Lonchura striata: one gene and its partners. Each later gene encodes a partner of the first gene's protein in a complex. Links are inferred from orthologs where the notes say so. Each region holds a gene or a part of one and is shown in the gene's direction. Other genes may lie near its edges.

Region 1 (7,298 bases):
TCTGCTTGCTAAGGCCTTTTGAGACTTGAATTCTTACTCTGTGAGCAAAGACCTCTCTAGGCAGGATGGTTCAGCCAGCCCTGGGCCCCAGTGCTCATCCGAGGGGGATGGTGGTTGCAAAATTATGTACAGGACTGGTGAGGCCAGGGACTGACCTGGGTGCAGTGGGTAGGTCAGAGGAAGCCAGTGCTCATTCAGATTAGTTCCTCTGTCAGGCCAGACACAGAAGCTGAGTTAGGGAGAACCTGGTAAGAGCAACAGGAAGCCCTTTGATAGATATTAACTATAGAAAAATGGGTGGCAGTGGCCTGAGCTTGGCCTGTGCTAAGCTATTTTGGGTTCTTACTGCTCCTTGAGAAACCACCAGTAACTCAAAAGCAAACAGCTTGTGGCTATGGAAATAACTTTGAATGAGGTCACTGCAGACTTCTAACAGTAGGTGCATTCTGAAGAGAAAAGTTGCCCTTCCTTCCACTCATGAGAGAACTAGAAAATGTTGCTTAAGAAGACAGGACAAAAGCAGATGTAATGTAACAATCAGGATATATATTTATTTATTAATACTTCCAGTTTGAATGTTCCAACATTGTAGGATCCTGGTCGGAAGTTGCAGGTGCTCCTGTTGATTTCTTTGTTTGTTTGGAAAAGACAGTTCCTTTTACAACATTCCCTCTAAAAACAAATACTTCCCTCTTTGTGGAGCATAGGAGTAGTAGAGATGTCCTGTTTACCTCAGGAAGAGGTTTGAGATTTGCTGTAGGAATGAGGTTTGTGAGCTAAGAAAAGGCAGACAATGCTGGATTTGTCCACATTATATTTAGAACTGTATTTTATTGCTGGATTTTTGCTAGCAAGTTACATTCATGACCTCACTCATAAAGCACAGAGAAGTGAGATTTCTGGTGCTTGGCATTGGATAATCTGAGAAGGTCTCTGCTTAAACACAGCAGCAGAACTCCAAGATAAAGGGATTGCCACAAGCGTCCCAAGCTTGTTTTGCTGTGTTCTGCAGGGAGAAGGCAAACCCATGCAAATATGTGTGTGCTCAAAGTCTCCTGCTCTATCCCTGCAGGTTCTGGGGTGTTGGCTATTTTTTGTACTCAAAATCAGATCCTTAAATATCAACAGGCTGCTGCCAGCAGATCTGTAGGTACCCAAATCACCATAACAAATACCTTAATGCTGTTTCTAAATATTCTGACAACTGAAAGCTTGAAAGGAATGGGGTCAGATATGAAGTAGGGTAGATGTAGCTAACCTTCAGCTGGTCCCTGAATTACTGCTCTAAATACACTTCATTCCCAGAAGCTACAGACAGTATTCACATATCCCTTGTGACTTTCTAAACTTGTCTCATCTCCTGCTTGGAGGGGAGGAAGAGTAGGAAGGAAATCAAAAGGAGCATAAGCAGCTGCTTGCCTTGTGATTATTGTAATAGTTATGAAACAAACTTAGCTAACCTGCTTAGAACCAGACATTAACAAGAGTTTTTACAGAAAAGGATCCTTTAGGGATTTAAATATACTAAAAGCAACACAACAAAACAAACCTGAACAAATGGAAAGAAAAAATTTTTTCACTTGTTCCTCAAAATGTTTGTTCTTTGTGTGACACCATTTTCACAGCTGTATAATGTTTGAGAAATAGCTTTTCCTCCAGGGTTTGATTGGTTTGTTTGGGGTTTTTTTTTAAGAACTGCAAAATGTTTGTGCAGACTGATAAAAACTCTTCCCAGAAGGGGGAATGGTTAATCCCACAGTGGTTTTACAACACCCTTGTCTCTCAGAAGGGCTGTAGGAGGGGTGGGAGGGGGGCACTGTAACATCCCTAAAGTGCACAGGAGTTCTTCTTGCCCTGCTCCCAAGGCAGGCCCTATATCCAGTTCCCTGCCAACCCTGCCATGGGACAGAAGGAAAAGCCTCTCCTTTCAAATGTGCTCTCATAGGGGGTTTTGCTGTTTTTTAAGTGAAGCTTGCAGATGTTTTTTACCAGACAGAAGGGGCTGCAGGTTGGGACTGGCTCTGGAGAAAATGCACAAAGCAGATTAGTGTTTTGAGTCAGGAATGGGTTGGAGCAAAGAAAAGTTAGGAGATTTTTTTTTTTTTTTAATGCTCTTAGTCACCAAAACTGGATTTTGGCAGATGCATTTTAAGTGCAGTTAAATTGTGTCTGATTGGTGAGATGATAATTCAGTGAGCTCTAAGCTAAAGAGCATTTCAGTGAGCAGGGTGTGGTAATAGGATGGCTTTTTCTGTGTTGGGGGAAGAACAAGTAAGGGATCATCTCCTCAGGGGAATCCTCATGGGCTCTGCATACAGCATGCTCCAAGGACTCTTCAGCATATTGAAGGGCCAAGGAGCAAAGGTCCAGAGAGGCAGCCAGTAGTTGCCTCTGAAATAATCCTTTCTTTGGGAGACCATGATCATGCTGCCAGATCCTGGGGATTGTTCAGCATCTCTAAGCTTTCAGACATATTTTTTCCTTCATAAAATTTGGGGGCTGGGAGTAAGAGAGACTGATGTATTGTAACAAAGACAGTAGATGTTTAATGACACTTCTGAACGTGGGATTTGTACCAACTACGTCCCTCTGAAATGTCAGAAATGAACGTGGGAGGAAAGACCGATTCAGACTTTCAGAGCAGCATTATGTCTTCAATGGAGATTTGTAGCTTCATCTACAGCCAAAAAGGAGAAGTGATGGGCACCCCAGCATAAGGCAAATTCTGTACTTTGCACAACCCAGGCCAGTGCACTCTTCCTCAGTTTCCTTTTACCTACAGCTCTTGAATCGCTTCTTCACATCCTCAGAGATGTTTTCTTTCATCCACACAAAATTTGTGGCTGGGTGCTTAAGGCATAACTCCATCTTTTGTCTGGGATTGCCAAACATCTGGCAGTCAGCTCAGCAGGCAAATGACAAGTACTTACAGGCAGTCACTGCATGTATAGCAAGTCATTTGTTAGACTAACTGTATATTCGCTGATCAACAACACAGCAGAGTACAGCACATCTGGGAAACACAGAAGTTACAGTGTGAGTGAGAAAAATGGGAGCATTAATTCTGTCCCTCTGTAGAACTGTTACTGACAGAACTTACCCCTAATTCAGAGAGAGGATTTTATGCAGTCAGTTCTCAGCGGTAAGTAATGCCTTTGTCTCTTACACAGAGCACCAGCCTCTGCTCTGCCCATAACTGGAGCTTCCAGCTTCACAGGAATAAAAATCACAAAACCAGCAGTCAGTTTATATTACACATATCACTTCAGGCGCTTCTGCTTTATGGTGCTTTTGTCTCCACCGACTTTCAGCTGGAATGGTATGTCCTTCGCTGTTTTGCAACTAGAGATAACTATGCTTTTGTCACATTCTTCCATTTCGCTCATGTGCTGGTTCCCACATGCGCTGCAAACGGGAGCTGGGCTGTGCCTCATCCTCCCGATGCTGTGTGTGTAGGGGGACAAACTGGGTTTGCTGTCAGGTTTGCTGTCAGGTTTGCTGTCAGGTTCTGCTCCCTGTGCCCCTGCCCGCTGCAGCTCACCCGCACCTCTCGGCTGGGGAGAGCCGAGCACAAAGGCTTGAGAGCCTAACTGCAAAGTCACATTGCTACAAACGCGGAGACGAGACAAACGCTGCCATTTCTTCCAAAATACGCAGCTTTATGCCCAGCTCTCATCCGCGGCGCCGCGGACTCCTCTGGCGCAGCGCTGTGCACTCGGGCCGGCCGGCAGCCGCCGCTGGTTGTGGCGGCAGCGTGCGGAGCAGTGTCGGTGCCCGTGCCTCGCTTGGTGCCGGCGGCAGGAGCCGGGGGCAGGAGCCCCAGGCGGGAGCCGGGGGCAGGAGCCCCAGGCGGGAGCCGGCAGCGGGAGCCCCGGCGGGAACCGGCAGCGGGAGCCGGCAGCGGGATCCCCGGCGGGATCCCCGGCGGGAGCCGGGAGCAGGAGCCCCAGGCGGGAGCCGGCAGCGGGATCCCCGGCGGGATCCCCGGCGGGAGCCGGGAGCAGGAGCCCCAGGCGGGAGCCGGCAGCGGGATCCCCGGCGGGATCCCCAGCGGGAGGCGGCAGCGGGAGCCCCCGGCCGCCGCCGGCCCCGGCGCGGGGATCCCGGGCACGGCCCGGGGCGCGGAGCGGCCGCTGGCCACGCCCCCTCCCTGCGCCAGCCAATGGGGTCTCGCCGCCGGCCGCGTGCCGGGAGGGGGCAGCCGGATCCTGCGGGGCGGGGCCGCCTTGGGGGCGTGGCCTCGGCGGAGCGGGCGGCTGCTATTGGAGGAGCGCGGCGGGGGCGGGGCGGCCGGCGGGGAGCGGGCGGGGCGGGCGCTCCGCGGCTCGGTGCGGGCAGCGCTCGGCGGCGGGAGCGGAGCGGGGCGGCCGCCCGGCAGGTGAGGGGCGGCGGGCACCGGGGCCGCGGGCAGGGGAGAGTGGGCGGCTGCTGCCGCCGCGCCCGGCCTGGAGCGGGGAAGCGCTGCCGGGGGTCAGCGGCCGGCGGCAGGTGCCGCCCGGGGACCGCGCTTTGTCTCCGCGTGGGGGGATGGGCGCGGCCCCTCCGGAGCGGCGGCGCCTCCCGGGCGGGGCGAGGGGGCTCCGGTGGGCTGGGAAACTCCCCGCTCCTGGCCGCCCCCCGCGGCGGGCTCTGCGGGGAGGAGGGCGGGGGTCCCGCGGCTCCGCGCCCGGAGGGGCAGCAGGAGCGGGCGGCGGGGCTGGCGAGCCCCTCCGGCGGCGGTGGCAGTGCCGGGATGCGGGGAGCAGCGGGACCGGGCGAGCCCCCCGCGGCCGGGGACGGCTCGGCGGGAGGCGGCACCGCGCCGGGCAGCCCGTGCGGCCGCGCTGGAAGAGCTGCCCGGCCCCGGCCCCGCTCCTCGGTGCGCACTGCTGGGTAATTCCTGCCGGTCGGAGAGCTCGTTTTCCACCTTGAGCGCATTCCTTTCGAAAGAGTTTGCAGCAAGTGTTTGGGCCCCTCTGAGCAGGTGTGTTTTGTGTTCCAGGAGTTGCAATTTGAGATCTTTATTTTTTTAAATCTAAACTTTCTGTGACTGCTGTTTTATCTCAGGGAGCAGTCTGGAACAGGAGTAGTCCTGGGAGAGTATGTGGAGTGCTGCTCTAGTTACAAAGAGGAAGGGGCTTACAACCCTGCGTGTTGTAAAACAGCGGGGTCAGTATTTTACTTAAACAAGTGCTCTATTCTGTGCAAGGCTGAATGTGATGTGCTCATTTGTGACCTCACTTTTTGAACAGGGATCACAGAAGTGCTCTGCCTTGTGTATGAAATGCAGAAATCGATGACTTATGTTAATGATGTGTCTGTGTGACATCGGGGAGCTAAGCCAGTGATGGAAGCATTCCCCCTGATTCAAGGGGAAGCTGATGCACTGAGATGTTTTGCATTGTAATGGGGAAATTGGTGTTTCCCCTTACTACAAATGGGGCATGGAATTTCACAGGTTTTAATAAGGTCACTTTGAGAGGCCAGCAATGCCTAGCAGAATCGCAGGAGAAGAGAGCAAACAAGTTATGGATTGAGAAGAATCTGGCAGAGAAGGTGACTTGTAGGTAGTTTGGTGCGGAGCAGACTATTTCTATGCACATCCACACCTGTGTACAGCTGAGCCAGAATCTGTAAGCCAGGGACTTGCCCTGAACTGAGATTTGGCCAGAAAGCATTTACTATAGCGCAGTCATATATGGAATTTTCTCTTTAAATTTCTTCCTAACACGTGAAAAGAGTTAGGTTAGTAATACGATTAACAATATTTAATAAGATTAAAATCACCAGCATAACCCTTGAGAAAGGTGGGTGCAGACTGTCAGCAGTTGACACTTTTAATCTCTGCTTTCTCTCATGTGAATGCTGTAAAGAGTTCAGGCTCCAAGACTCTGCTTGCTTTTCAGAACAGAAAAATTCTGCCCTCGCCTGCTGACAGCTCAGGTATTGCCTTACCTTTCATGTCCACCAACAGCATCATATTCCCAGCGGGGCCACGGGATGTTCCCATATAAGGGCAGAGGGAATAGCTGACAGAGGGCTGTAATGAGTGTGCAGAGCTGTTCCCTTCAGTGCCAGTCTTTGTGTGAAGCTGGGTTGTTGCTGGAGTGTTCCTGCTGCTGGCACGCTTGGGTTTTCCTGGCGATGCCAGCGGAGCCTGTAGGGACTAAACGAGTCTGAAAAGTATCTGTTGCTGCCGAAGGTGGCCCCGTGAGCCTGCAGAGAGGCTGCCTGCCAGATTAAGCAGTGCCAGTTGTTTGTTGGGTGTGCTCTGCAGGAAAAAGCACCCACCCAGGTTGCCTGTGTGGGGTGTGTGCTATCCAGCGCTGTCCAATAGAAGACAAAAGTAATTGCACTTTCTGTCTTCCACTCTTGCTGTTTGATTTCTGGAGAGTTTCTTTAGCCAAAGATGGGTATAGGGAAGCATGATGTCTTTTTCAGTGTACGTTTCAGTGTCTGCTAGAGAGGGAGAACAACAGACGAGGACAAGTTCAGAAGAAGATGAAGCAGCCACTCCCCAGAAATACTTGACATTTTTTTCTGGTAAAAGCTTTACTGCTGAATTGGGTAGTTTGACATTATTTCTCTTCTCTCATCTTTTTCTCTGTCTCTGTCCTTCCTGCTGCCTATCAAAGCAAACTCACAAGGACATCAGTTTCTTCTCCTCACTGACAGCTTCTCCATCTGTTCTGTTTTTGTTTGTAGCTGTTGGTTTTTTTCCTCCTGAAACTTCAAATTGTTTGTTGTAGCCAAGTTGTGAGCTGAACCCTCCCAAACTTGCATAAGGGCATCTTGGAGGAAGATGATAGGACTTTGATTCATCCCAGCTTGGAGGCTGTGCAGGGTGGTAGCAGGCAGAGGAGGCATGAGCCTGCCTGCTTCCTTGTAAGAATTAGCCCTCTAGATACAAGCTAGTTTCAGGAAGCAGGGCTTGGACTGGTGCCCTTTTTGCTCACCTGGATCTTCAGTGAAACGTCTTTGTGCTCTGCGTGCTGGGATCTGGTGTGTTCTACTGACTCTCCTTTGCATTCCCTATAATCTGTTAAAGCCCTGGATTTGATTTGCATTTATTTGTTGTTCTTGTGAGTATCTGATTGCAGGATTACTGTATCTGAAAGGATTCATCTTCTGCTGTTCATGAAAACCACAGGAGGGCTGCTTTTGCCTTTATGGGAATGTGCCAGCTGGTCTTTCATTGTGCTGGTATCATTTTCCCTGTCCTGTTACTGGAGGCGTCTTTGACCTGATGGTTGTGATGATGTCTTTAGAGAAGATTCATATTGATCATTATTTGAGCTTTGTCTGGTTTCATCTCAGTG
Region 2 (7,637 bases), on another chromosome or scaffold:
ATCAGAAATGATTCCTGTGATTGGTGATGACTCCATTAAACAATTTTCATTACTTTGATCTTTTTGGAAATGTAAATGCATTTTCAAAAAACATAAAAACAATATATTGAGTTTTAGTTTCTTCATTATTCTTAATGTACTCCATTATTGATGTTGCCTCATTGACCTTGTCCCCTGAGGTAAGCACTGCTGACACCTTTTTTATTATTTTTCTCATTAATAAACATGGCCTTCTCTAGGCCATGCACTTCTTCCGCCATGTAGAGTGGATAAAGCGTCTTTTATCATTCATTTTTTATTCATTGATTGTTGATTCTAAGTCTTTCCATGCCATCTTCCTACGAAAAGACCACTGGACTGGTTAGTTTCTTAATTTTGTAAGCATGCACATAACTGAGCTGTTGGTGTAAGACTTACAGGCTCCATATTTGGACACTGGTAAGTGAAAACACAAAATATTTGTTGCTGTTGTTTTGCCTATGAGCAAAGTATGTTATTAATGTAACTTGCTAGTAATATCTCATTGTAAAATACAAATGCTGACCCAGCATCAGAATGAGAGGAATCCCTACCACTTTTGCAATCCTTCTCCAAATCCACCATGTCCCTTATCCTTTTAGCAAACTTTCTAACAGGCTGTGCTGTGACATTTAATAGACTAGACTGCAGATGTCTAACTAATGGTTAGACATTAACCTACAGTGTAGCTCCCCTAAATCTGTTATTCCAGATTAGGAAATGAAATGGAAAATATTCTCTGTGACCTTTACAGTGCTCTTAGCCACACAGATCCACCAAAGGCAGAGAAAAAGACCTTCTTCCTCTGCCACGTCATCCAGACATGCACTTCCCCTACTCTACATCATCTAAATGCAGATGTCTGTGTAGCATTTACTTAGCTCCCTCTTCTCCTGTCTTAGGCATACAAACATGGTAAATACAGGGACAGTTTTAAAGTCTCTGAGTGTATAATTGCCATGTTTATCCATAATGATATAGGAAGTCTTCAGCCCAAAGAAACCCAAAAAACCCCAAGGTCAGGAGATAAAACTCCTTGACTATTATAATTTAGTTTCACTGCCTCTGTAATTGCAAAGTGAAGTCAATGCATTTTCTCTGCCTGATGGGGAGGATACAAAAGTAAAAGGTCAAGGCTTTATCCATCTGTGGTTCTGTCACTCACCTACTGTATAATCTTGCACAAATCACTTTGAGCAGTTGTGTATCAGGTTCCTAACTAGGACAGTTAATGGCATCTTCCTGCTCTGCAAATAATTTTACATCTATGTCAATTCTAGTAGCTTAATAATGTTAATCAATATTAATTTACTGGACAATGCTTTTAGATGCCTTTTGTGTGCTTACTTTTCTGTACTAAGGTTTCCAAAACTGTTTTTATTGTCATGACTGTAAAATGTATTTTAAATCTTTATTTTTATTATGTTATTTTCCCAAAATTGGTAGTGAAAAGGGATTTTTTTTCAGCAATGTGTGCTCTTTTCCTCTAATGCTGGCTTATATCAATGATGAGTGATTTGAAAAGTCACGCCATCATAGCAATATAAAGGTGTAGCTTGAAACCTTGACTTTATTCAGAATTGTTCACAGTTGCACTCATTCAACCCAACTATTTTTTACTTTATTCTCTCATCTATTCATTCTCTCACGCACCCTGCTACTGACCTATTCCCTGTATTATGTATCGGTTTGCAAACCTCTGGGCATGTTCAATGCCCTTTTCACTGACTTACTAAAAACCTACCACCTGTTCACTCACTCACTCTTGGACAGACCTGCCCTCAGCCTCAGACCTGGCTTCTGAGACAGTTTTAGTCTCTCTCAGTCCTGACTCTGCTCCTGTATCTTCTATCCTGCAGCCTATTTGTTTGTGAGTTTAATTAAGGACTGCAGGTTTAAGAGCACCATCAGTTGTTACAGCTTTCTTTAACCCCTTTTTCTTTCTTAATTGCTTATTTATTTTTCCTGGCACAGATTTGACACAGCTTGCCTAGACTTAAAATACCTGTCTGTATATTCAACCCCAACACATTGTCTGAAGTAAATGTGTTAGGACTGAGGCAGTCTTTATATACTATTACTTTGCAGAAAGCATTATGTGTCCTTTTGAAGATTAGACTTTATTATGCTTATAGTAAAGGTTTTTAAAAGCATGTTTCCTCCATGTCCTTGGAATACCCATTATGGAATTGATGTGGACATGTATTAACAATTGTTCATTATTTGATCTCATTGCAACAGCATGCAGCATTTGGGAGATTATTATATTTTTTTGGAAAACAAAATCAGTTATAATTACTATGAGGACCAGTGTCTTCAGCCCTACATCACTAGCTCAGATTAATATACAACCCAGATTAGCATTACAGACCTCTGGAAACTTCTCAAATCTGTGTCAGAGGCCATTTGTTTTTTATTCCTGTGAAATAAATGACTTATAATTGTAACCAAAAGGAATTTTCAGTGGTGCAATTCATGGTACCAGCTGTAAGTTCCCAACACTGTTATTACTAGTGTTTTCTTTTTCCCATCAAATCCCATTTGGTAATATATACTTGAAAGAAGGGTCTAAATGTGATTGAGAATTTGCCATTTGACAAGGTACAAATATCAATTCCTTGTTTCACCTCCAACCTTCAAGTCTGTAAGACTCTCCAGGTTTCACTGAGAATGGAGATTGAAAGCTACTTCATAAAAATTAACAATATAATTCTTAAAAGGTAATGACGTATTACTTGGATAGAGTCAGAAATAATGGGAATTTTGTGTTTGTGCTAGCCTTTGCTCCAGTTCCCTTGTGCCACTCCCTGGTTTTGGAAATTTGTACAGACTGCAGGCTTCATGGGGAAACCTGACAAAATCCCTGTGATTTTTCTACTCAGAGCTAAGAATTGCCCAAGTCTAGATTCTGTAAAATGAGAGATTAAAAAAGCATCTTTGTTTCTTCCCTTGTAATATAATTTCATAGTTGTATTCCCTCAGGACATGCTTAAAGTCTTGTCTACACTGGAGGGTTTTGTCAGCATATTAATACCAGCAGTGAGTCCCAGTGGAGATGCAGGTTAATCTTCTGATGGTATAAATTATGGCAATTTACCAAATACAGTATGATAAGGATTTTTTACCATGCTACTGTATTTTCAGCAAGGATTTTCTGGCACGGGTTCATTTCACCCTCTCATTTATGCCCCTTTCGGACTCAGGTTAATCATCAGAAGTGGTTCTGCCCCTTCCTTGCAGACCATGTCTTCTCAGCCGCTCCTGCTGCCATCTCCCAGATGATTATGGGTATGATTACTTTCTTTTCCATGCTTCACATCCAATGTTTTGATGGCATTACGACCATATTTGATGTCAATGGCGTGATGAACACTGGTTATCCATTGTTAAGATGGACTGTTACATCACCATTTTGAAAATGTAGTGCAGGAAAACTCGTTTCCCACTGTTTACCACACAACAGACTGTTTGCCGGCTATGCTAGTAGCCTCCTTCAGATGCTACCATTTCGTAGACCCTGAAATATCAAGGTTGCTTTGCATGTAACTTCCTTAATCTGAAGTTATTACCATGCCTCCATGCTTTAAGAGGCTAGATCTCCTCAATGATTTCTTCCTGATGTTATTTCTTACCTACAGCTAATATGAATTATTAGAGATTGACTAGCATGTTATTGTAAAAATACAGTATTGTGAAATGCCGGAATTTAAAGGTCAGGCAGTAAAGCAAGTGCTATTGTCTGACAAGCTAAATATTTTGTCCAGTCTTGCTTCAATGACTACTGCTAACCAAACTATGGCAATTTCATGACACTGGTATCACCTGTTCCGCAGCAATAAAACAAACCAAACCCCAATCCAAAACCAGAGACCCATGTGTCGGTCCATGCCATTCATCTGAACAGTCACACCAGGCGTGCAGGGACATGACGGTAATCAATAGCTCATCAGTGACTCAGCAGGATCACCGCGGGTGAGATCTGTGCATTTACTGACCTATTTTCTGTCCTCCTTTCATATACCGCCGAGCAGTCACCTAAGCGCACCTATGCCTCTAAGGTGCAGTAATTCTAGTAGCAACGGCTTATGACACGAGTTATTTCACTCCCATGGTACCAGGCTGGATCCCAGGTGCGGTTTTCCCTGCGGTCTGCGGCGAGCGGATCCCCCGTGCCCGCGGAGGGGCGGAGGAGGAGCGGCGGAACGCGACAAGCGGCGCTGGGTGCGAGGGCGGCGGCGGCTCCGGCCCGGCCGAGCCGCGGGACGCCGCACCTGCTTTCGGCAGGGACAGCCCCAGGGACGGGCGGGGGCAGCGGTTCCGCCGCCGCCGAGGCCGGCTGGTGTCCCAGCGCCGCCGCCGTTAACGGGGCCGCGCCGCCCGCGGGGGAAGGGCCGAGCACCACCGAGCTGAGGGCGGCTCGGGCCCCCGCCAAACCCCCGGGAGCCAGCCCAGCCGGGCCCGCCCCCAGCTCCGCTCGGCCGCCATACTGCGGGGCGACCCAAACTTGTTACACCTCCTCCTCCTCCTCCTCCTCCTCCTCCTGCCGCCGCCGCCGCTCCCGCCGCCGGCCTGCCCCCAGCGGCGCGGGAGGAGGGGGCTGCGCCGGCCCAGCCCCAGCCGCGGGGAGGGCGCCGAGGCGGGCGGGGGCCGTGCGAGGGGAGCGCCGCAGCGCCCCGCAGGTAGGAGCGCCCGGCGGGGCGGGCCGGGCCGCGGGAGGCGGCGGGCGGGAGCGTTCCGTCGCTGGGGCAGCGACCGTCCGGCCCCGCCGAGGTGGGGCTGCGGGAGCCGGGCGCGGGCGGCGCGGCCGCCCCTACGGAACGCAGCCCGTCCTGCCGCCTGACGGGGCCCGGCCGCCGCCGCGCTCGGGCGGGGGGCGAGGGCGCTGGCAGCCCCCGCCGGCCACGGGGCCGGAGCGAGACGAGAGGAGGAGCCTGCAGCCGTAGCAAATGAGCGAGGGCTGCCAGGTTTATAAATCTGCTTTTCCTCCCCCCCCTCCGAGCCCCGCTGACTCCGGCGGCGACGGGCGGGCGGCTGCGGCTCCGCCAGGTGCGTGCCCGGGGTGGCGGTCGGGGCCCCGCCGTCCGCGCCTGCCGCACCTGCCGCGGGGGCGGGGGCGCGGCCGAGGGTGGTGAGGATGGATGCGGGGCGTTCTCGCCCGGCTGAGGAGCAGTCGGTTTCCAAGGGCCAGCAGCTCAGGTTGCCAGGAGTGTGTCCCGGCGCTTCGGGGAGGCCGCTGTCTGCTGGGAGCCGCCGTCCCTCGCTGAGCGAAGAGCCGTGCGCGATACCGGGTGCTTGCTGTCGGGTAACCGGCTGCACGTGTTCTGAAGCGCTGTTATGTGCTGCTTTATTTTTTAGCTGTCAGGAGAGTTTGAATCGGGTCTCCGCGGAGGTGCTGAGTTTGCAAGGTACGTGTGAAGAGAGTGTCTTCTGTCCCCATTTGCCTTTTCGGCTAATTCCGAGAGGATGTCTTCACTGCTTCCCGGAGGTGTGGGTTATTGCGTGGTGTTTTCTGCGTATACACAAATACGCATCATGGGCGTTTAAGGGAGAGGATTTGAGTGGATGAATGCAGCCGTGGTAACTTCATTGTTGCAGGTCCTTTCTATTACATGACTGCCTTTAGCAGGGAGGGGAGTAGAATTTTGATCCTGCCCTGGTGTAGTCCGGAACCTGATGGATCTGTAGATTGAAGGGATTTTTGAAGTCTGCTTTCCGGTTTAATGCTGAAACATTTTCCTATTTTCCTTCATGTCTTTATTGTCATGTACCTCTTACGGAGAGTTACTTCGGCTTAAAAATGTTTAAACCTTTAAGTTTATAGCACTCAGGTATTTCTAGTAGCTCTGAAAATCAATGTAGCAATAATGCATCTTTTTTAAACAAAATTAGAATTCTCACAGTAATTAGCACACGTCTTTTGAATGCTGTGTGCCCATCAGGCTCAGAAATAGCTACTGATCTCATACTCCCTTTTGGATACCTGTATGAAGGTTTTGTTAGAGAACAGTTTAATGACTTCTTTTATTAGAAAGAGTGCGAGCTCAGGCAATTACGCAAGTGCGCCTAAAGGAAGCTGTGCTGGCTGCGTGGATGGCGAATGTGGAGGCCGAGCCGGAGTGGGAGTATCATTTACAAACGGAGTCAGAAAGGGGCATTGTAAGGGAGAGCCGAGTGGCTCGTGTCGGGTGAAACACTGTACGTAGGGAGGAGTGTTTGTACCGTGTGCTGCCTGGGACGAGCAGGCCATGTATGGATGGCCACTCATTCTTTCTGGTAGCAGAGATGAGTTATAGGTGGCTATTTCCACTGGAAGCAAACGGATGGCATGGGAATGTGTTACTGCGTTTATATTCTTAGAGGATTGACAGATGAACTCTGTCTTTACTATCATCTCTTGGTGTGTAGAGGGAGTATTTCACCATCTCTCTCCTCCTCTGAAATGATTACATTATATACCTTTATCTGTGATCCAGGATTGCTACAGAGTCTGCTGACAAAAGCTGCTTCCATTCATACCTACCAAAATAGGTCTATACTGGTTTTTAAATTTCTCTTGTGTTTTTTTAAGAAGCAAAAACCATTGTAGCTAGTGGGGAGGGCAGTAGCTACTTCCACAACAAATTAAGTGTTTGATATGAATGGTTCTGTTTCGAAACTCGAACACTGATTCATAGGTTTTTCTGGACACTTAAGTACAGGTGTGCCCACAGGCTTAATTTAATATGCTGTGTTGCCATCTCTCTGCTGGTATTATGATTCAGTCTCCTCTCCTCCCCCCCAGCCCAGTCCCTGCATAAACAGCTATCACATTGAACACTTGATAACTTTTCTTGTTAACCTTGTATGGATACAGCAGTACCCTGCCAAAATGTGTGGATTTATACCACTAAGAGGTCCTGCAAACAGAAGAGATGTTCTGGATGCCCTGGCGCATCCCATATTGGCCTGCCTCCTGAGCAGCTGAGCCTCAAAGTTCCCTGCTCCATGCAGCCTTTTGCTGGGGCGAGCTGGAGAACTCCAGAGGATCTGTCATTTGCTGAAGGCCACTTGGGTGGAGTTGAAGGCTGCACTGTGCTTGCTCTGCAGCACACTCTTGTCCTCTCTCCTAGCTGTTTTAGGGGGTGTGTGCTAAATGAATATTTTTGTTTTAAAATGCATTTTCCTAGCTGTTCTCTTGCAGTGAAGCAAGTGGGAGGTCTCTTTCAGTCCATGTCAAAATCAGTTCTTATTCTGGGCTGCTAGCATTAGATTTAATACTTGCATATGTCACCTGCTTTGCAGAAGGTGTTGAATAAGTTGATAGGTGGTTGTTCCATAATCTCATTTTTAAGGATGGCTTTTTAAAATAGGACTCTAAATCAGTAGAAATAAAATCTTGGAGCATTTCTATCATACTTACATTACCTTGGAACTCCACCAATTGTTTTTAGCTTTGGTTTTCTCCAGGAAAAAGGGAATTCCAAGCTAGTTGTTGCAATAGGGATTTTGTAGGTAACCAGAATATAAAGTTCTGAATGTGCAGAGGTGAAGTTACTTACGCCAGGTTTTGCTGTGCAAAGGTAATGAAATAATTACCAAAGTTGACTAACATGTCTTTTAAGCCTCCAGTGCTTCCAAAT
Region 3 (7,071 bases), on another chromosome or scaffold:
ATTTGGGAAATGAACTTGGGAATCATTTCCCCTGTGCTTTTCCCCTCCAAGGTGTAAAGGTTTGGCAGCTGGCTTCCAAAAGCAGCAGAAAAACAGGAGCTGGCTGAGCAATTTGTACTGAGTGTAAAGAACTGTTCAAAATACCTGAACATTCTCTCACTGGCTTGAAATTGATGATTTGTAAGGAGCAAAAGAATCTTTATTTTTGTGGTGGAGCTCAGCGAAACTCAGCCGATTATCCCATCTGAAACACAAATTGAAATTTTTTTCTGAAAGAAAAATGCATCCAGGCACTGTTTATCCACACTTAAAACCTTAAAGCATCACTTTTTGCTGATTTTCCTCGCTGTTTATGCTGAGCTGACAGCGGTGCAAACCCCCCTCGGAGCTCCACGATCCCAAAGCGCTTGGAAATGCTTTTTTTTTTTCCCAAATTCCTGAGTTTTTACCTGCCCGGCAGCTCAGGTTAGAGGAGCCATTCGAGGCTTTCCCAGCAGATGGCAACAGCTCCTCGGTGCGAGCCTGGGAAAGGGGATTTGGCCAAAGAATCCTCACACTTTATAAATTTATTTTTACAGGAGCCCCTCTAAAGCACCTCCAAGGATCTAACCGTTATTTTAAGGCAAAATAAGAATGGAATTGTACTCCTTAGGAATGAAACTCCTCAATTTTAGGGTCCTGCTTAGCTCTGCTATGGACTAAAAAAACAGATGGAGGAGGTTGATTAGAGAATCACAAAATGGTTTTGTGTTGGAAGAGACCTCAAAGGTCATCTTGCTCCAACCCTCCTGCCATGGGATGGTTCTGTGTGTAAATTCAGATCAAGTGACAGCTTCAGAGCGCCAAAAAAAAAAAAAAAAAAGTAATGGGCACACTGTAATTACTTATTGATTTCCCTACCCCATATTTCAGGCTGTAAAACAGAATTATCATAAATGGACATCTATCTTAATCTAAATATGTAACCAACTCCCTCCAAAAAAAAAAAAAAAAATCAGCATTTGCAGAGAAGAGAAGTAGAAAATCTATGTCTTAGGATTTCCTCCAGCTAATTGTTCTCGTTATGTTGTCATGCACAATAAAATATAATTAAAGTAATAAAAAAGCATTGAGGCCTAATATGCAAATGCTGGGCCTGCCAGGAATCAGATCTCCCAGGATCTTTCCCCTCTCCAGGCACAGTACTCGATGTTCCCAAAGTTAAAAGCAGGGAGGGATTTATTGCAGAGAAGATGCAATAAAGAGATATATAATAAATAAATATAGATATATGGAGGCATTCAGTCACTTCATCAGCACTGATGACTCTATTGCACACAGCTGCAGAAGGAGAGGCAGACGTGGCCGCTTGTCTCACACTCCCACACTTTATTTATTTATTTTTCCCCCCACCAAGCCTCCGTTTTCCCCAAAAGGAAACCAAAAAAGGAAGTATAAATGTCCTGCGCATATATGTGAAATATCATGTAGAAAATGATTTCATCCCACGCTTCCCCTCTTTGCTCTGAACTCCATCAAAACAACAAATTCTTCGGGCGCTCAGACTTCGGGCTGCCGGCTTCCTGATGCGCGCGGCGAGCAGGACACAGCTCCGTGTTCCAGAGGTACGGTCCCGTGTGCCCAGCCAAAACCTTTCTTTTCCAGCCTCTTTCCAAGTCCAGTGTCCCAGCTTTGAAGTCTATCCCGGCAAGATTAATTAAAGGGAAGAAGCGTGGTGTCCTAGATGATTGGGATTAGCTAATAAGGTTATTTTAGTCTGCTGGCATTTTGCTGGAGGAGGCTGATGTTCTGTAAGTTCCTTTGTGCAGAGGGGCAGGAATTACTGGCAGGGGAGATATCCTGCTTTTCATTCCACATCTGTGCTGCTCACGAGCTTTCATTTCTGGAGGAGTAGCGTGGAAGTTTCCTGAAGTCCTCAGGTGTAGATGTTATTTCCAGGTGTTTGAGAACAAGTGGCTTGTAGTGCCAGGACAAGGGGGAACGGCTTCACACTGACGGAGAGTAGCTTTAGGTGGGATATGAGGAAAAAATAATTCCTTGTGGGGGTGGTGAGGTTGCCCAGAGAAGCTGTGGTGGATCCTTGGAAGTGTTCGAAGCCAGGTTGGAGGAACCTGGGATAGTGGAAGAAGAACCGTGGCAGGGGGTTGGAACAAAATAATCTTTAAGATCCCTTCCAGCCCAAACCATTCTGGGATTCTGTGCAGACTTGAAACAGGAATTTCTCTCTCAGACCGTGTACATGAACAGCAGGGAGTTACAGCAAGGACATGTTTGTGTTCAGCCTGTGGCCGAGAGAAGGAAATCCTCACCTGCTAAAATTTAAATGCCCCAACACCCCGCGTGGCTCATCTTTTGGCACTGGAAGTTTTGAAGGGGAGCAGGAACAGGCCCTTGGCCGCAGTGTTTCTGGAATGTACGTGCAGGGAGGGATCAGTTCTTGGATTTATGCTGCCCTTAACCTCCAAGAAAAAATTCCCTTTGAAACTTGCGTGGGAAATGCGGGGAACGCGGGATGGGACAACGAAAGGCCTGGGAGTGAGCAGCACAGCCCGAGGCTCCGCGCTGCACAGCTCCTGGCACTTCTACTCTTTTAATTTGCTGCTTATTTATTTTCTTTCTGCTCCAAGTTTCGCCGGTGTCATATTTTCCATGGAGATGGAGGCGCGGGCGCTCCCTGCCCTGAGCGCTGGTGACACGGCAAAGTGTCGGATAGCAGGGGATGGGGAAAAAAAATAGGGAAAAAAGGGAAAAAGGGATAGAAGGAAAAGGGAAACCTCCTCGGGCTAGGGATGCAGGGGGATGGGGGAAAACGGAAAAAGGGAAAAAGGGGTAGAGGGAAAAGGGAAACCTCCTCGGGTTAGGGACGCAGGGGGATGGAATACTGTTGGGCAGGGGATGGGGAAATATGGAAAAATGGAAAAAGGGATAGAGGGAAAAGGGAAACCTCCTCGGGTTAAGGACGCAGGAGGATGGGGAAAAATGGAAAAACGGGTAGAGGGAAAAGGGAAACCTCCTCGGGTTAGGGACGCAGGGGGATGGAAAGCTGGGACACAGGGAGAGGGAGAAGCGGCCGCCACCGAGCGGAGACGAAAGGAAACAGCCCGCGGGTCTGGAAAACGCTTCCCGAAGGGAAAAGGCCTGGGCAGGGACCGGGAAAGGGCTGCGAGAGAGGAGGAGGAGGAGGCAGAGAAGGAGGAGAAGGAAGGGAAGGAGGAGAAGGAGGGGAAGGAGGAGGAGGAGAAGGAGAAGGAGGAGAAGGGGAAGGAGGGGAAGGAGGAGAAGGAGGAGGAGGAGAAAGAGGAGGAGAAGGGGAAGGAGGAGAAGGAGGGCAAGGAGGAGAAGGAGAAGAAGGAGGGGAAGGAGGAGGAGGAGAAGGAGGAGAAGGAGGGGAAGGAGGGGAAGGAGGGGAAGGAGGAGAAGGAGAAGGAGGGGAAGGAGAAGGAGGGGAAGGAGGGGAAGGAGGAGGAGGAGGAGAAAGAGGAGAAGGAGGGGAAGGAGGAGAAGGAGGGCAAGGAGGAGAAGGAGAAGAAGGAGGGGAAGGAGGAGGAGGAGAAGGAGGAGAAGGAGGGGAAGAAGGGGAAGGAGGAGAAGGAGGGGAAGGAGGAGAAGGAGGGGAAGGAGGAGGGGAAGGAGGGGAAGGAGGAGGGGAAGAAGGAGAAGGAGGAGAAGGAGGAGAAACAGGAGAAGGAAGAGAGAGGGAGGAGGAAGAGGAGGAAGAGGAGGGCGGGCGGCGGAGGGATCCGGCGGCGGGGCGGAGCGGCCGGAGGTACGAGCCCCCCGGAGGCGCCGGGGAGGGGCGAGCCCGGCCCGGCCCGGCTCGGCGCAGGCTCCCGGGACGCGCCGCTGCCGCCTCGCCCAGCCGCGCAGCGCCGGGGCCGCCAGCGGGCCGGGAGAGCAGCGCGGCGCAGAGCGGCGCAGGGCCGCAGCGAGAGGCCGAGCGGCGGGGCATGGAGCCCCGGGCCTAGAGGCGGCCGCCCTGCCCGAGCCCCGCGGGCGAGGCCGGGCGGGCAGCGGGGATGGGCCCGGCCGCGGGCGGGGAGCGCCGCCCGCCCCCCGAGCGCAGCCCCTGAGCCCGCACGGGCCCCCGCGCTCGGAGCATCGCCCGCCTCTTCACGAGGGTTTCTTCTTTTTTCCACCCCCCGCCCGCGTCCGCCGAGGTTGTTTTGTTGATTATTTTTGTTGTTGTTGTTGTTGGAGTTTTTTTCCTTGCTGGAGTTTTTGCTTTATCCCCCCCGCGCCCCACTTCCGTGGTTTGGATATTCTGGGTGACTGCAAAGAAGAGTTTTGGAGTTGTTTTGGATTGGGTTTGGTTTTTGTTGGTTCTTTTTTTTTTTTTTTTTTTTTTGTTCCCTTCTCCTGCCCTTGAACTGAGTTTGTCCTCTGTGCATGCCTCTTCTGGAGCAAGGCTGGATCCTGAACCTCGGTGCATGTAAGGGGCAAAGCCTCGTTCATATTCCTGCAAGAAGAGTAAAATGTAAATTGGATAATACGACTTCTTGCCAAAGGCTCCAATGAGTGGCACACAGTCCACAATCACGGACAGGTCAGTATAAAATGAGATTCCTTGATTTTTTTTTTTTTTTTTCCTTTTTTTGAAGTGTGACTACCCGCAGAGCTCACGTACTTCGTGTTCTGGCTTCAGTGACAGACGGGATCAGAAAAGCAGGATTAAATCAGAGGCTCTGGGAGCCAAGGGTGTCTTGACTGTCAAAGCGACTGGGTTGACTTTGAAAGCGGAGTATTTCAAGTCCAACAGCTTTCAGGCCTGCCAGGCTGACTTTGTAGGAGCCAGGGGTGCTAACTCAGCTCCCAGGATGGGCTGGTGCTGCGGGGAACACCGAAAGCAAGGGTTCCTGCACGGAGCTGGAGCAGCAGAAGCCACCAGAATTTAGTATCCAGCTCAAGCCTGAGCTGGGAGAGCGTGTTGAGGATGCACTTGGGTCTCCTTGGGTCAAGTACTGCGGAGAGGTCACTCCAGGTGAGGGCAGGAGGGAGAGTTGACAAGCAGGAATGTCTGCTGGTGTCTACCTTAGCAGGAACCTGCCTTCAGATACCTGCTTGAGCCTCTGGGCTGCTCTGCAGGTGCCTTTCATTACCTCTGCAGTTCTCTCGTTTGCACTGAGGTGTTTCAGAGGAAGGGATAAAAAATGTGACAAAAAAAAAAAAAAGTCAAGAAGGAAACATTTTAACGTGCTTTTGGGGCGAATGAGTGCCTTCAGATTTTTTTTGGATGGGAAGGAAAGATACCTTTTTTGACACAGTATGCTGTAAGAACCATTTAATGTGTTTTTTTGTATCTGTATAGTGTCTGGCTGGTGGTTAAGGTGTGAATGAGTGTGGCAAAGGCCTCGCTTTGGCCTTTCATGACCAAGCAGTTCTGGCACAGCAGCGAAGCTGGGGCTGGGATGGAGCAGTGATGCTTTTGGGGGCTTGAGCTCACCAATTTTAGGCTCCAGGTGCAGGCAGGAGAGAGTCTGAGTGTGGTTCTCACTTAAACCCGGCCTTTTCGTGACTCCACAAGTCAGCCCAGTCCAAAGGGCTCTGGGACAGCTCAGACTTGTGTACAATCTGTGTTTACAACTGTTCACAGAGTATTCAATCTTGGCAATTAATTCTGTAGTTTGTACGAGTGGAGTTTTCTCTTTTGCAGTGCATGAATGATTCTTGGGTTGCAGGATGTTTTTCTCTGTAGCAGGCGAGGCAATGACAGTAAAAAGGCATTTCAGTGGATTTGTGAGGATTTTGTTACATACTTCAGGCCATATGTCTTGTGGCAGTTGCATGATATCAAAAAGAACGACAGGATTTTCATCCCGAGGAGCAGCTGAGTGATGCACGGAAAGGAAAAACACGAGAACAGGGAATTTAATTTACTTGTTAGTAAAACAAAATACTTTCCATTATTGAATTGGAGCAGCCAAATAAAAAATGTCTCATTTCCTTTTGCTCTCAGTCATGTCAGGAGGATGTTTCTGTTTGGTGTTCCATTAAGGTTTTGGATCAAAAGGCTTTTAATGTCAGGTGAGGAGCTGTGCCCACAACCCTTGGATTTCTGGGATGGCTGGGGGAATGTGGAGAAACTGGATCTCTTCTTGTCACTATTTTCCACCTCTGGCCTGAAGCAGCCCCAGCTCTGGGGTACAAAGTCATGGTCGTGGTTCTGCCAGGAGAAGAGAAGCTTTGGGGTGGCCTGCCAGGACCTGAAGGAGCCTACAGGGAAGATGGAGAGAGACTATTTTAAAAGGTCTGGAGTGACAGGACAAGGGGGAACGGTGGAAAACTCAGAGGAGGGTTAGATTGATGGTGAGGATGGTGACAGGGTGCCCCTGGATCCCTGGAAGTGTCCAAGGCTGGAGCACCCTGGGGCAGTGGAAGGTGTCCCTGCCCATGGCAGGGGGATGGGAAAGAGATGGGATTTAAGGTCCCTCCCAGCCCAAACCATTCTGGGATTCTCTGATGATTTCTGATTTATTCCCTGGCTGAACCTTTCAGCAGAACCCCAGATGTGGTGGTCGTGTTTGTCCCGATCTCTGCCGTTCCTTTTCATCCCCAGCATTGTGCAGGATTTGATCACTCTTGTCCCTGCAGAACATTCCCCTTTCCCTTCAGGCCCAGGGACTTTCTGTGTTGCCTTTTTCAATCTGCCTCTAGAGCTTAGAATGTAAAGCAGGTGCAATATAAATAATGATGCTTCCACTGTCATTAGATCCATAAATCATCTGACATGTTCAATTCTCTTTGTGTTTGTCAATCACCTTCCTTGGTGGGATTGAGATGGGAATTGCCTTAAACCAGGAAAACCCAGTTTGCATCCGTGCCAGATGGTATTAGGAATATAATAGGGTAGCTTGGGCCTAGATTTTTCTCCATATTAGCTTTACATATTTGTATTTAGCATATATAGAGCTGCCTAAATCCACATTACAGACAGCAGATATTTCCTTTGCTATCCCTGCAATTTAAGGCAGTAATGATTTGACAGCTGTCACATTTCCCTTGTGCAGGTTGCACTTGTCTAATCCTTGACATATTTTATATCTCTTGATATAAATGATCACCATTAAATATAGA

Evidence for each region.
Region 2: the proteins of PLXNB1 (region 1) and SEMA4D are in contact, whole or in part, in a crystal structure (PDB 3OL2), measured with the Homo sapiens proteins. The link is inferred for Lonchura striata from reciprocal best matches to the Homo sapiens genes PLXNB1 and SEMA4D. Residues at the interface, in NP_001123554.1 of Homo sapiens: Leu80, Pro81, Pro82, Glu87, Arg136, Pro137, Gly138, Asp139, Thr140, Tyr142, Gly178, Glu202, Lys205, Ala207, Gly209, Arg210, Ser212, Glu213, Arg235, Arg242, Asp359, Val360, Asn361, Ser362, Leu367, Pro368, Thr371, Tyr375, Ser379, Asp380; in NP_001358123.1 of Homo sapiens: Glu99, Lys100, Gly101, Phe158, Tyr179, Phe181, Leu182, Gly183, Ser184, Arg198, Tyr201, Ile203, Glu208, Val240, Leu264, Arg265, Thr266, Leu267, Gln268, Lys270, Thr347, Gln350, Ser351, His352, Thr353, Asp388, Gln392, Lys395.
Region 3: the proteins of PLXNB1 (region 1) and ARHGEF12 are in contact, whole or in part, in an NMR structure (PDB 2OS6), measured with the Homo sapiens proteins. The link is inferred for Lonchura striata from reciprocal best matches to the Homo sapiens genes PLXNB1 and ARHGEF12. Residues at the interface, in NP_001123554.1 of Homo sapiens: Glu2129, Lys2131, Val2132, Thr2133, Asp2134, Leu2135; in NP_056128.1 of Homo sapiens: Phe82, Gly83, Leu84, Thr85, Val86, Ser87, Gly88, Asp89, His127, Val131, Lys135.

What each region holds. Positions count from the first base shown.
Region 1 is NC_134614.1:15,164,788-15,172,085, forward strand, and holds the start of PLXNB1 (plexin-B1), read left to right. Parts: upstream 1-4,294; 5' UTR 4,295-4,378; intron 4,379-7,298. UniProt on the Homo sapiens protein: Receptor for SEMA4D. Plays a role in GABAergic synapse development. Mediates SEMA4A- and SEMA4D-dependent inhibitory synapse development. Plays a role in RHOA activation and subsequent changes of the actin cytoskeleton.
Region 2 is NC_134642.1:8,237,309-8,244,945, forward strand, and holds the start of SEMA4D (semaphorin-4D), read left to right. Parts: upstream 1-4,626; 5' UTR 4,627-4,697; intron 4,698-5,046; exon of another isoform or gene 5,047-5,064; intron 5,065-5,105; exon of another isoform or gene 5,106-5,373; 5' UTR 5,374-5,423; intron 5,424-7,637. UniProt on the Homo sapiens protein: Cell surface receptor for PLXNB1 and PLXNB2 that plays an important role in cell-cell signaling. Regulates GABAergic synapse development. Promotes the development of inhibitory synapses in a PLXNB1-dependent manner.
Region 3 is NC_134625.1:8,620,900-8,627,970, reverse strand, and holds the start of ARHGEF12 (rho guanine nucleotide exchange factor 12), read left to right. Parts: upstream 1-4,060; 5' UTR 4,061-4,511; coding exon 4,512-4,543; intron 4,544-7,071. UniProt on the Homo sapiens protein: May play a role in the regulation of RhoA GTPase by guanine nucleotide-binding alpha-12 (GNA12) and alpha-13 (GNA13). Acts as guanine nucleotide exchange factor (GEF) for RhoA GTPase and may act as GTPase-activating protein (GAP) for GNA12 and GNA13.